Linked DNA regions of Xenopus tropicalis. The main gene of each other region encodes a partner of the protein of the gene in region 3 in a complex. Links are inferred from orthologs where the notes say so. Each region holds a gene or a part of one and is shown on either strand. Other genes may lie near its edges.

Region 1 (3,500 bases), on a different chromosome or scaffold from region 3:
TTTTGGGCCTGAAAAACACCCTGCAAACCAGTTCTGTTGTTGGGGTTACACTAAATCTATAGCTTGTCAATCGAGAGCTTGAACATTAAATTTCAAAAGATTACATATAATTGAAACATGTTAAATTAGTTTACATTTATTTTGATTGTAAAGTAACTGGTATTGTAAGCAGAATTTAAGTGTTGCCATTTGCTGCACTGACAGTTTTGACAACAAGTACCACTTAAAGAGGTTGTTTACGTTTAGAATGTTATAAAACGGCTTATTCTAAGCAACCTTCTTCTGCTTCTTTTCAGCTTTCAAATGGTGGTCAGCCAAAAACTATTGCTCTGTGAGACTAAGGTTTTATTGTCATGTTTACTTTTTGTTACTTATCTTTCTATTCAGGCCAGTCTCTCTATCAAATCAAAGCCTGGTTGCTAGGGTAATTTGGACCCAAGCAAGATAGCTGCTAAATAACTAAAAAACTACAAATAGAAAAAATGAAGACCAATTGCAAATTCGCAGAATTGCACTCTCTACATTATGCTAAAAGTTAAGTTAATAGTGAACAACCCCCTTAAGTAATGTTACAATGATCAGCCCTACCCTCGCAGATATTGCTTTCAATAAAATTACATTTACAAATAATTTCAAATCAACAAATATTTGAAATTAATATATATTGGAAAGTTGCTTAGAATAAAGGTTTCCTGCCCATTTACAAAATGTTATATTTGACTTTCACTTTAAAACTACACATTTTTTTAGGAACACCCTGAAAAATACAATCCAACCCCCCCAATATTATTAAAAAGCTAGTAAACCAAATGTCTGTCACTGATGGTTTGCACCCCTCCAGCCAACAATTGTATTAAGGAGCTCACGTGTCAACAAAGATCCTTACGAGGAAACAGCCTGCCATGTGGATGGCCAAGTCATGCAAAGACTCTCTCATTAGGCTGATCATACAAGTAAAGATTTTAAGATTGCCAAAGTCAGGGATCCCCAATATTTTTTTTTACCCGTGAGCCTTATTCAAACGTAAAAAGGGTTGGGGAGCAACACAAAGCATGAAAAATGTACCTGGGGGTACCATATAAGGGCTGTGATTGGCTATTTGGTAGCCCCTATGTGTACTGGCAGCCTACAGGTGGTTCTGTTTGGCAGTTCACAAACTTCAAAAACTTGCCTTCAAGCCAGGAATTAAAAAAATAAGCAGCTGCTTTGAGGCAACTGAGAGCAACATGGGGCTGGAGAGCAACATGTTGCCCCCGAGTCACTGGTTGGGGATCACTGGCCTAACTCTTGTATAGGTTGTAGTTTTGTATGTAATCCATATGTTCAGTGCATACACCTTTCAATTGCACAGCACTGTGGAATATGGTGGTAATTTATAAACACTTTCTGACTGGTTTCATTAAATTTAATATATTTACATTTCTTTATCCTAGAAAGCCTCTCACCTCTATGGTAGGATCATACTCGTCCACAAAGTGGTTCTGTATAAGCTGGATTGTCAGTGCACTCTTCCCCACGCCACCAGCACCGACCACTACCAGCTTGTACTCCGTCATTGTTGAAGACCCTCTGCAAGAGACAGACATATACATTTCAAGTAAACTGGACATTCCATTACAGATGCAGGTACAGAGCGGTTACAAAAATGAAGCCATATAATAAATAATAGCGTGTGGGTAACCTGCAGGCCTTTACACAAAGGAGATTTTCAGTAGGGCCTAGTGGAGTGTCGGAATTCCTATTTTGGACCAATGCCTTGCGGTTCTGGAAGGTAATCGAAGGTAAGGTTTCCTGGTATCATTTAAGTTTAAAAGACAACCCTGCTTTCAGCTATATATTCCACAATCTATAGGCTTAAAAGAACAATAAAAAAGTGGCAAGGAAATGGACATAAATGCTACTCTTTCATAATTTAAAAGATGTCATAATTCAATAGAAAACTGTACATTATGTCCTAAATAAAAAAAACAACAGATGGTAGCAGTTAGAGCAAGAGAAGTTTGGATTTGGAATGTCTGGGGGCCTGGTAAAAAGCTGTAAAAAGAAACCATACCAGAGACCACATAACAAATTGCCTGTGAAAAAGCAACAAAATACCGCCATGCTTCACAGATTTGTAACTAAAAACTTCCTGCACAGTTGCCGTTCCCTCACCTCCAAAGCAACCTCCAAAGACTCCAGTCTGACCCCTTCCAAAGGCCATTTCCTCACAAACACTCTCAGAGGAGGAAACTGGACCAGACGTTCTCCTGCTGCTGAACTATTCTGCTTATTTTATACCAAACACTAAAACAGACCGAGAGGACTAATCAGCTCCATACTGTTCCACCTAATGTCAGCCCAGGGCTACTTCAGACCCTTATAGATTGACATGGTTCCTAATAGTCTTGTTTGGTTAACTGAACCACGCAAAACAGCCAGCTACAAGTGGCAGCTACTAATTTACATACCCATGGGATGAGACAGAATGCTATATATCTGCCAGTTTGTGTGTGTATGTTGTATTTAGGGCTCATTGCTCTATTCAGAGCTTTCTAGACAGCGGGTTTAGAGATCCTATAATGTTTCCTATGTGAAGTGAACTATTTTCAGAAGCATAATCAATAAACATGGCAGCAGGTATACAGCTTGTTAATGCTGCCCTTGTCTCCTCTGTTTTCACCTTATAAACATCATCCAATATATTATATATATATATGCACACCATAAGAACAAGATAATACCTGGGTGCTCGTGCAGGAGGTATAGATACTCAGGGTAGGATTGACAGCACACGCAGGGTTTTCATATGAAAAATCACAAAGGTGTAGATGAATAAATGTGAGGCTTTATTCAGTCCGACGTTTCAGTTCCTATCTGGAACTTTCATCAGGGACAGCAACATCTCAGTGTAGTACAAACGTTTTTAAGCACAAAAGGGCGCCAAGCTTGTTGCTAGGCAACCACTAACACATACATAAAGTGACAAAATCAAATGGAAAACAAAAAAAAACATGAAAAAACGATTACAAAAGTGTTTATAGGTATAGACATATAAGGACAATGTGTCCAGGGCCAAAAGGTACATAAATGAAAGGATCTCAGTATATGGCAATAGCTGGTCGTTTTGTAGCAATATAAGGTTGCAAAACATGAAAAGCCCCAACCACTCTCTGCTCCCATAGCGCTGGGCAGGAACCGCTAGTACAATAGACCAACACCAAGGTACGGAACTTAAAGCACATTAGCATACTGCTAGCGTCGCCGTTGCTAGGCAACCAACCCCACAGAAGTGAATGGGCATCGTGGGCCACATCGTATTCAGCCGTCTAGAGAGGGGGATCATATATAAGGAGCCAACGGCAGACGCACAGGTCACCATAATAATGAACCCGGTGTCGCCGCATACGCTCACTGGTTAGTCAGGAGTGTGCCAGATTCATACAACTCCCAGGAGGCACATATAAGCAACAGACATCTGGGTCACCGTAAAGGTGAACCCAGTGTCTCTGCAATAGCCC
Region 2 (3,500 bases), on a different chromosome or scaffold from region 3:
CATGCATACAAACGGAACTCTTACATAAGTAGTTAATTCCATCTATAAAAACAGCTGTCACTGCCCAATGTTTTACTACAAGGAACTGCACAGCATTGCCTTAAACCAGCACAAACCATACAGGTATTATCAGACATGCTTGGGAACTGGGGGTTTCAGGATAAGGGATCTTTCTGTAATTTGGATTACCATGCCTTAAGTTTACTAAGAAAACATTTTAGCATTAATTAAACAACAGGATGAATTTGTCGCTAATATGGATTGATGCAAGTTTCAGTAGAAGGTATTGTCTCATTATTACAAAAAAGGGAACTAATTCTTGAAAATGTAAAATTATTTGCTTAAAATGGATGATGACCTTCCTGTAATTCGGAGATTTCTAGATTTCCGTATAAGGTATCCATACCTGTATTACAGGGGATGCAAGATATTATTATCATCTATTCACGGTGCCTGTGGCTGTTGGCAACGCGTTTCGCAGGCATTTCCTGCTTCATCAGGCAATGTAGAATAGGAGCAAAAACCAACAGTGCAATATTGTTGTGAATAAATTATTATTGAAAATTACCACTTTTGTTGGTGTCTGCTTGGAGGAGGTAAGTTCATTACTACCTCCTCTGAATTACCCATTGGGTTTTTAAGTGTTTTTAGCTAATTTTATCCTTTAGGCGCCTCTGTTTTGTTTTATCATTATACCGAGTCCACCCCGAGTGGAGGGGTGTCATCCCCATTTTTCTTCCTTCTACAGAGAGCGACTTCTTATTCCTGAGTGGGGTCAGGATAATCTCCCCACCTGCCTATACAGTGGTTGCCTATTGGTAACCCTGGCTTGTGAGTATTAATTTGTTTACTCTACCATTACTCCTTGTAAAAACAATTTACACTATTGGGGCTCTTGGTGTTCCTTTTTGTCTTCACCTACACAAAAGGTGCACCAAACACATAAGTACCTACATTTATTCATTTAATTACCTTTAATTAATTACAACTGAGCCTCAATTCAACACTGTTACCAGTGACTAACTTTATGTAATATATACTCACCTGGCCAGTGTTATAATTGTTAACAATTACTGCTAAAATGAAGGAGGTCATTGTACGGTGCTCAGCCTGGTAAAGACAAAAATGCATGATTGAATACTTAGTCCGTTTACAATTCAATACAAGGGCTCATTTATGAACTGGTCGGTGCAAGTGCTGTCAAAATAATGCCCTTTAGAGCACCATATACTTTGCAAGGGATAAACACAAGTGTTAAGTGTGCTGTGCACTTTACACCAGTTGTGATGGTGCAAGAGTTCAATGGTCAGGGGAGCATGGGAGTAATGTATTTAATGCCTGCCTTGAGAATTGTGGGCATTTACTAATTTGGCACCGTATGCCCATTAGTAAATAAGCCTTTGGTTCTTGAGCATGATTCTTACTATTTACATAGAGCAGATTATTGTTTTTAAATAAGATGTATCAATAGTCTCTATTCAAAAAGGCAGAACTTTAAATACATATGGGGTCATAACGCATATTAAAATATTATGCATAGTATGAAATGCTTTCAGAAACAAAAGCATAAAAAAAAAAAGACTGATGTATGTACAAAATGTTTCTTAAATAAAGTGGATGGGAAACCTTCCAAATGTTTAGGGCATTTTAGATACAGCCCTTAGCACAGATTAGCTTACTAAAGAGCAAAAACATTCCAAACTTTACTGTGCCTATACTATCTAAAATCAGTATGTGTACTGGAAATGCGCATTGATCTTACCGGCATATATGGATCCGCCAGAACAGAAAGAAAATATTTATGGCCATTATCTTTTACTAAGTCTGCTTGGCACGACTAGGAAAGAACACAAAAGGGAACCAAGTTAGAAAAGCTGTTCACATTGCTAAACAGTTTTATTACAAAATAAAGCTTCTTGGTTTTAAATTCTAGTTAGTTTGTACTGTTTCAAAATCCAACACACATATACTGTTATACATATACTACTGACATTCCCTTACCACATGAATGGCTATTTGGTATCTACTACTTACACTATCAACAGCAAGGATCTTGGCCCAAATAAAGACAAGCAGTGGCCGGAGTTCCCGAGCTGAGCTTTGGAGCAGCTTTAGCACATAAGGGAAAATACCAACAGAAAGGGCCTGTACGAAAAAGGGATATCAATGATATTAAAGACACATGTAACACAAAATATACAAATCTGTTAATTGGGTTTTTAAGCTAATGTATTGAACTGTAAGGGGCGGTGATTATCATGTAGCAATTGTGCATCTCTCACCTGTTCCTCTACCTGTAACTTTTTGCAAATAAAGTTTATATGTTTCACATCTCAAAATACAAGGCCGGATTGGCATATTTACCACATGTACTAGTAACCATTGTGCCAGCCATTAGGAAAGCATTAACTGCACTGTACCTGAAAACAGGGGAAACTAATTGTAATTAGCTTAGGTGACTTGAAGCTATTCGGCCTAATGGAGGTCTGCATACACATGGGCTCCCCAACTATGATTGCTGCTGCACAGTCATAACAAGATGTTGAAGGTGGTAAGAAAAGTGCACTAAGTATAGTTATGTAACCAAAACGTGTAAAGCTCTATTATCTGCCAGCAAGAACAATTATGGTTTCTCACATTAGTGGCCTGACAGAATCAAATCCTTTTAACTGCTCACATAAGGTGCTAAAAGGCCAAGAGGCTCTACAACAATGGCCCAGTAGAAGTGCTGCTTTGTTTCAGTCATCAAAAGAGCTCAGCAGAGAGCACCCTGCTAAGTCCTACTACTTAGCTCTACTAATCCTTGAAGAACAGAAGAGATGCCAGATTTATTCACTCAGTGAGGTCAAAGCGAGCACATGCATGCCGGATGCACACTGAATTTAACGAGACATGAAGGGAATCCCAGTGAGTTTAAAGGCTAAATCCACCCCTGCTATTGAATGACTGTGAAAATGAGACATCTAAAATGTAATTATCACTCTTAGTAGATCAAAATATTGAAGATCACACATACTTTTTAACCACGTATAAGCACAAATAAAAGAAATTGAATTATTAGTTAACCCACAACCTTCCATAGTAATCATAACCGACTGCACAGAGAATATGTACCAGACTGACAGCCCAGGGACCCAGATCCAAGAATCTTCCCAAGAGGTCCAAGGCACGGAGTCTATGAACCTGGCTCAGCAAAACCTAGAATGGGATCAGAAAGCAAGAGCAATGAGTTTCATAAGACAATTAAGATCCTACCAGTTAGCCACCACCATAAAGAAGACCTGAAGCTGGCTGGTGATTTAGACCTGTGGCTAGGGTTTGCCAAAAAAAGGTATTTTTGTTATTTATCTTAGTGCTTGTAAAAAATTTAGTGTGCTTTGCCATTTTTTAAACTTAAACTTCTTTGAGGATGACATTGAGAATTAATGTTTAGAAGGATGGTGGGCCTTGTTATAAGAAATATACATAATGGTAACTCCAGTTTAACCGGACATATTGAC
Region 3 (4,096 bases):
CAGGATGGACCCAAAACTGCATGGTGCAAATATACAGAAGTACAAGGAGAAACAAGTACCGTATAAACTTGAGTACAAGCCGATCTGAATATAAGCCCAGGTACCTAATTTTACATCAGAAAACTGGAAAAACTTACTGACTCTAGTATAAGCCTAGGGTGGGAAATGCAGCAGCTACTGCTAAGTTTCAATAATCAAAACAAATACCAGTAAAATTACATTAATTGAGGCTGAGCGTATACTGTATATTATTTACTGTATGTGTTCAACTTAAAATAAATAAATAATTAACAGTATTCACCTGTATTTGCAATGCTGATCACATGATATGGATATACCTGATCAGTATTGCCAATACAAGTATAGGACCTGTTATCCAGAATGCTTGGGACCAAGGGTATTCCAGATAAGGGGTCTTTCTGTAATTTGTATCTCCATACCTTAAGTCTATATTAAATCAATAAAACATTAATTAATCCAATAGGATTGTTTTGTATCCAGTAAGGATTAATTATATCTTAGTTGGGATTAATTACAAGGTACTGTTTTATTATTACAGAGAAAAGGGAATCAGTTTTAAAATTCTGAACTATTTGATTAAAATGGAGTCTATGGGAGACAGGCTTTCCGTAATTCGGAGCTTTCTGGATAATGGGTTTCCGGATAAGGGATCCCATACCTGTATTGGTAAATACTATACTTAGGTACTAATTATAGGTAATTATTGATTGATTGAAGTTAAACACACGAGTTTAACTTCGATCAATTTTGATTAACTATAATAAGGATCTATACATATCTAGGGATAACTAGTACCTTGAAACTGCAGGGCTTAGATTAAAGGAACAGTAACACCAAAAAATGAAAGTGTATAAAAGTAACTAAAATATAATGTGCTGCTGCCCTGCACTGGTAAAAGTTGTGTGTTTACTTCAGAAAGTCTACTATAATTTATATAAATAAGCTGCTATGTAGCCATGGAGGCAGCCATTCAAAGGAGAAAAGGCACAGGCACATAGCAGATAACAGATAAAACACTATTGTATTCTACAGAACTTATCTGTTATCTGCTATGTAACCTGTGCCTTTTCTCCTTTTTTCCAGCTTGAATGGCTGCCCCCGTGGCTACACAGCAGCTTATTATATAAATTATAGTAGTGTTACTGTAGCAAACACACCAGTTTTACCAGTGCAGGGCAACAGTGCATTATATTTTTATTACTTTAAGAGCTCTGGCACATGGGGAAATTAGTCGCCCGCGACAAAACTCCATGTTCGCGGGCGACTAATCTCCCTGAGTTGTCATGACCCGCCATCCCACCAGCGAACATGTGAGTCGCCGGCGGGATGGCACACGCGGCGGCGCGATTTCCCGAAATCGGTGAAAAAGCCTCGCGAGTCTTTTTCGGCGATTTCAGGAAATCGCGCCGCCGCGTGTCCCATCCCGCCGGTGACTTACATGTTCGCCGGTGGGATGGCGGGTCATGGCAACTCGGGGAGATTAGTCGCCCGTGACAAGGGAGATTTGTCTCGGGCGACTAATCTCCCCGTGTGCCAGAGCCCTAAAGCTTTCATTTTTTTAGTGTTACTGTTCCTTTAACTGCAGGGGAAAGTGATGTCACTTCCGCCCAGGCGGGCAGAAGAGCGCACTATTAGTGGGGCTGGTGGGGTTGGAGGGAGAGGGAATTGCTGGCAGGGGGTCCCAGGAGAGAAGTGGGCAAGCAGGGGGCACGTGATGTCACTTCCGCCCAGGTGCGCAGAAGAGCGCACTATTAGGTAGCCTCGCGGGAGCGGGAATCGCTGGCAGGTCAGACTTTTGTATGTCCAAAAATGCGTATATTTCACCTGACCCAAGGGTGACTTTTTCAGCACATTTTGGGTGCTGAAAAACTCGGCTAATACTTGAGTATATACAGTATATACGGCATCAATAAGCCCAACATTTGCGCCTATTTCAATGCGACTGTACGTGCAGCAGTGTTTATACTTACACACTATGGAGGAGCTTCAATTTTGCAATTTTGCAATAACAAAGCCCAAAGATTTTTTAGTTATTTAACTAATAGGCAAAAAATTGTTTAGTACAAGCCCTATTTATTGCACTCATGCTGAACAAGTGGGTATTCTTATCCCAAACATATTCATATAAATATAAGCAGTAGTTCGGTGGGGGGGGGGGGGGGGCGAGGCACTTACAACAGACATATTTTTGGAAGGTATTCTTCCCCTTTAATACTGTATATTAAATGGTATCTACCATACCATATAAATACTGATTCCATTTATTCTCTCTAAAACCAAAAAGCGATGTATATTATTATAGCTGACTGAATGCAGTAAATAATCCCAGCCCGCCATTTGTATTTGTAAATAGAATGTTTAGGCTGAGCTGCTCCCATCAGAGCCCAGAGAGACAGCACAGTGTACCTAAATAGACTGCTCTGTTCTGATGAACTCTGTAGAGACTTCCTAATTCAAAGCCAGCAATAAGGCAGTTGCCATGGATACGTATACATGTTTATAAGCGGGGAAGTTCTGCACATTCAATGTTCAAGTTCTAATGTCACAACTGTTTGACAGAAAATAAACAGAGGCTGATTCCTGTTTCAATCGAGTATTGTTTACTATAAAGGCGATGTCAACCCTAACTTTTATATTATATCTAATGCCAAGGGCGCCTTACCCCAACCATAACCGCATATGTTCCGCTCCCTCTACTTGTTCCTACAACCCGCACCGTCTTATTATGTCTCTCGCCGTTTAGCCTGTCTCCCGGCGGCCATTCTGACGGATGACGTCATCGAGCGCGTCTGTGTTCCAAATGCGCATGCGTGCCTGACACCGCTTGAAAGAATTTTTTTTCAACAAGCTTTATTAAAAACGCCAAATATCGATAGCACTGCAGAACATCACTATTTCTTTATAGTAAGTGACTGTATAACATAAATGAATGGCTTTTATTAAGTAACCTTTATATTTTATTGATAGTTTTAAAGTGTATATCTAATAATGGCATGTAAAAGAAAACTTTATTTAAGCAAATCAAATAAATTGAATTCATTGAAATACAGTCTATTTTTTTTATTTCTTTATTTGGTCAAATGGTTATTTATTGTTTTAATATCGATCATTTTTTTTTATTTCAAGGGAAATCAATGTACTATTAATGCTTTACATAATGTGATTAATATGTACCCACCTCATTTCAATTAATATAAATTCATTTTATTTTTACCCCATTGTTCAATTATTTATTCATAATATCAAATATATTTCATTAATTTATTAATATATATATATATATATATAAATATGAGCATGTACAATAAATTAATGAAATATATTTGATATTATGAATAAATAATTAATAAAGGAGAACTAAACACTAAAAATGATTCTCTTTAGAAAAAAATAATTTTATATATTTATGGGACCTGTTATCCATAATGCTCGGAACCTTACTCAGTTTCAGTGAGAAGCTAATCCCCTGTTTTAAAGGGAAAGTTAATCCCCTTATTTTTTATGCCTTTCAAGGGGAAGTTTATACCCTGTTTTTTTTTTCTATTTCACATCTTAACAAGGGGAAGTTAATCTCATAATTTTTTTCTATTTCACCTAGTTTCAAATGAAATTTGAACACATTATTGTTTTCTAAGAATGACGACAATGCTCCTAAAATGGCTGCTGGAGCGATTCCTGTTTGGGAAAAATAGGGGCACATTTACTAAGCAATTTTTACAAAAAGTCTAATTTTTTCTTACTTATAGATAATTTCGAGATTTATGAATGGGTTTTCGGCAGAACTCGATTTTTTCTCTATTGTTCCATGAAAAATTTTAGTTTTTCAAAAATAACTCCCATAATTCGTGATTTATTCATGTTTAGTTAACTTTTTTAACTAAAAAAAATCGGCAGGTTTGATCTGTCAAGTACAATTGAGTCCTATGGAGGCTCAGAATAGTAGAAGAATAGAAGAGTCAGTGACAGTGAGTGGGCCGCCATCAGGGGGCCACAGGGGGGCAGTTGTCCCGGGCCTTGACAATTCTCGCTTTAAAGGGGGCCCTGCCATGATACAGTTTTTTTTAGCTTGGGCCCC

What was found. Proteins that work in one complex are often made in the same cells at the same time.
Region 1: the proteins of mapkap1 (region 3) and hras are in contact, whole or in part, in a crystal structure (PDB 7VV8), measured with the Homo sapiens proteins. The link is inferred for Xenopus tropicalis from reciprocal best matches to the Homo sapiens genes MAPKAP1 and HRAS. Residues at the interface, in NP_001006618.1 of Homo sapiens: Glu277, Ser278, Phe280, Ala286, His287, Gly288, Phe289, Ser290, Leu291, Ile292, Gln293, Arg311, Arg312, Lys313; in NP_001123914.1 of Homo sapiens: Gln25, Asp33, Ile36, Glu37, Asp38, Ser39, Tyr40, Arg41, Leu56, Glu63, Tyr64, Met67.
Region 2: mapkap1 (region 3) and rptor share a complex: the UniProt entries of both Homo sapiens proteins name them as parts of the mechanistic target of rapamycin complex. The link is inferred for Xenopus tropicalis from reciprocal best matches to the Homo sapiens genes MAPKAP1 and RPTOR.

What each region holds. Positions count from the first base shown.
Region 1 is NC_030680.2:34,309,507-34,313,006, forward strand, and holds part of hras (GTPase HRas), read right to left. Parts: intron 2,638-3,500; exon of another isoform or gene 1,682-2,637; intron 1,570-1,681; coding exon of another isoform or gene 1,557-1,569; coding exon 1,446-1,556; intron 1-1,445. UniProt on the Homo sapiens protein: Involved in the activation of Ras protein signal transduction. Ras proteins bind GDP/GTP and possess intrinsic GTPase activity.
Region 2 is NC_030686.2:26,930,964-26,934,463, forward strand, and holds part of rptor (regulatory-associated protein of mTOR), read right to left. Parts: intron 3,199-3,500; coding exon 3,115-3,198; intron 2,146-3,114; coding exon 2,035-2,145; intron 1,838-2,034; coding exon 1,763-1,837; intron 1,111-1,762; coding exon 1,045-1,110; intron 1-1,044. UniProt on the Homo sapiens protein: Component of the mechanistic target of rapamycin complex 1 (mTORC1), an evolutionarily conserved central nutrient sensor that stimulates anabolic reactions and macromolecule biosynthesis to promote cellular biomass generation and growth.
Region 3 is NC_030684.2:27,813,205-27,817,300, forward strand, and holds the start of mapkap1 (target of rapamycin complex 2 subunit MAPKAP1), read right to left. Parts: upstream 2,801-4,096; 5' UTR 2,684-2,800; intron 1-2,683. UniProt on the Homo sapiens protein: Component of the mechanistic target of rapamycin complex 2 (mTORC2), which transduces signals from growth factors to pathways involved in proliferation, cytoskeletal organization, lipogenesis and anabolic output.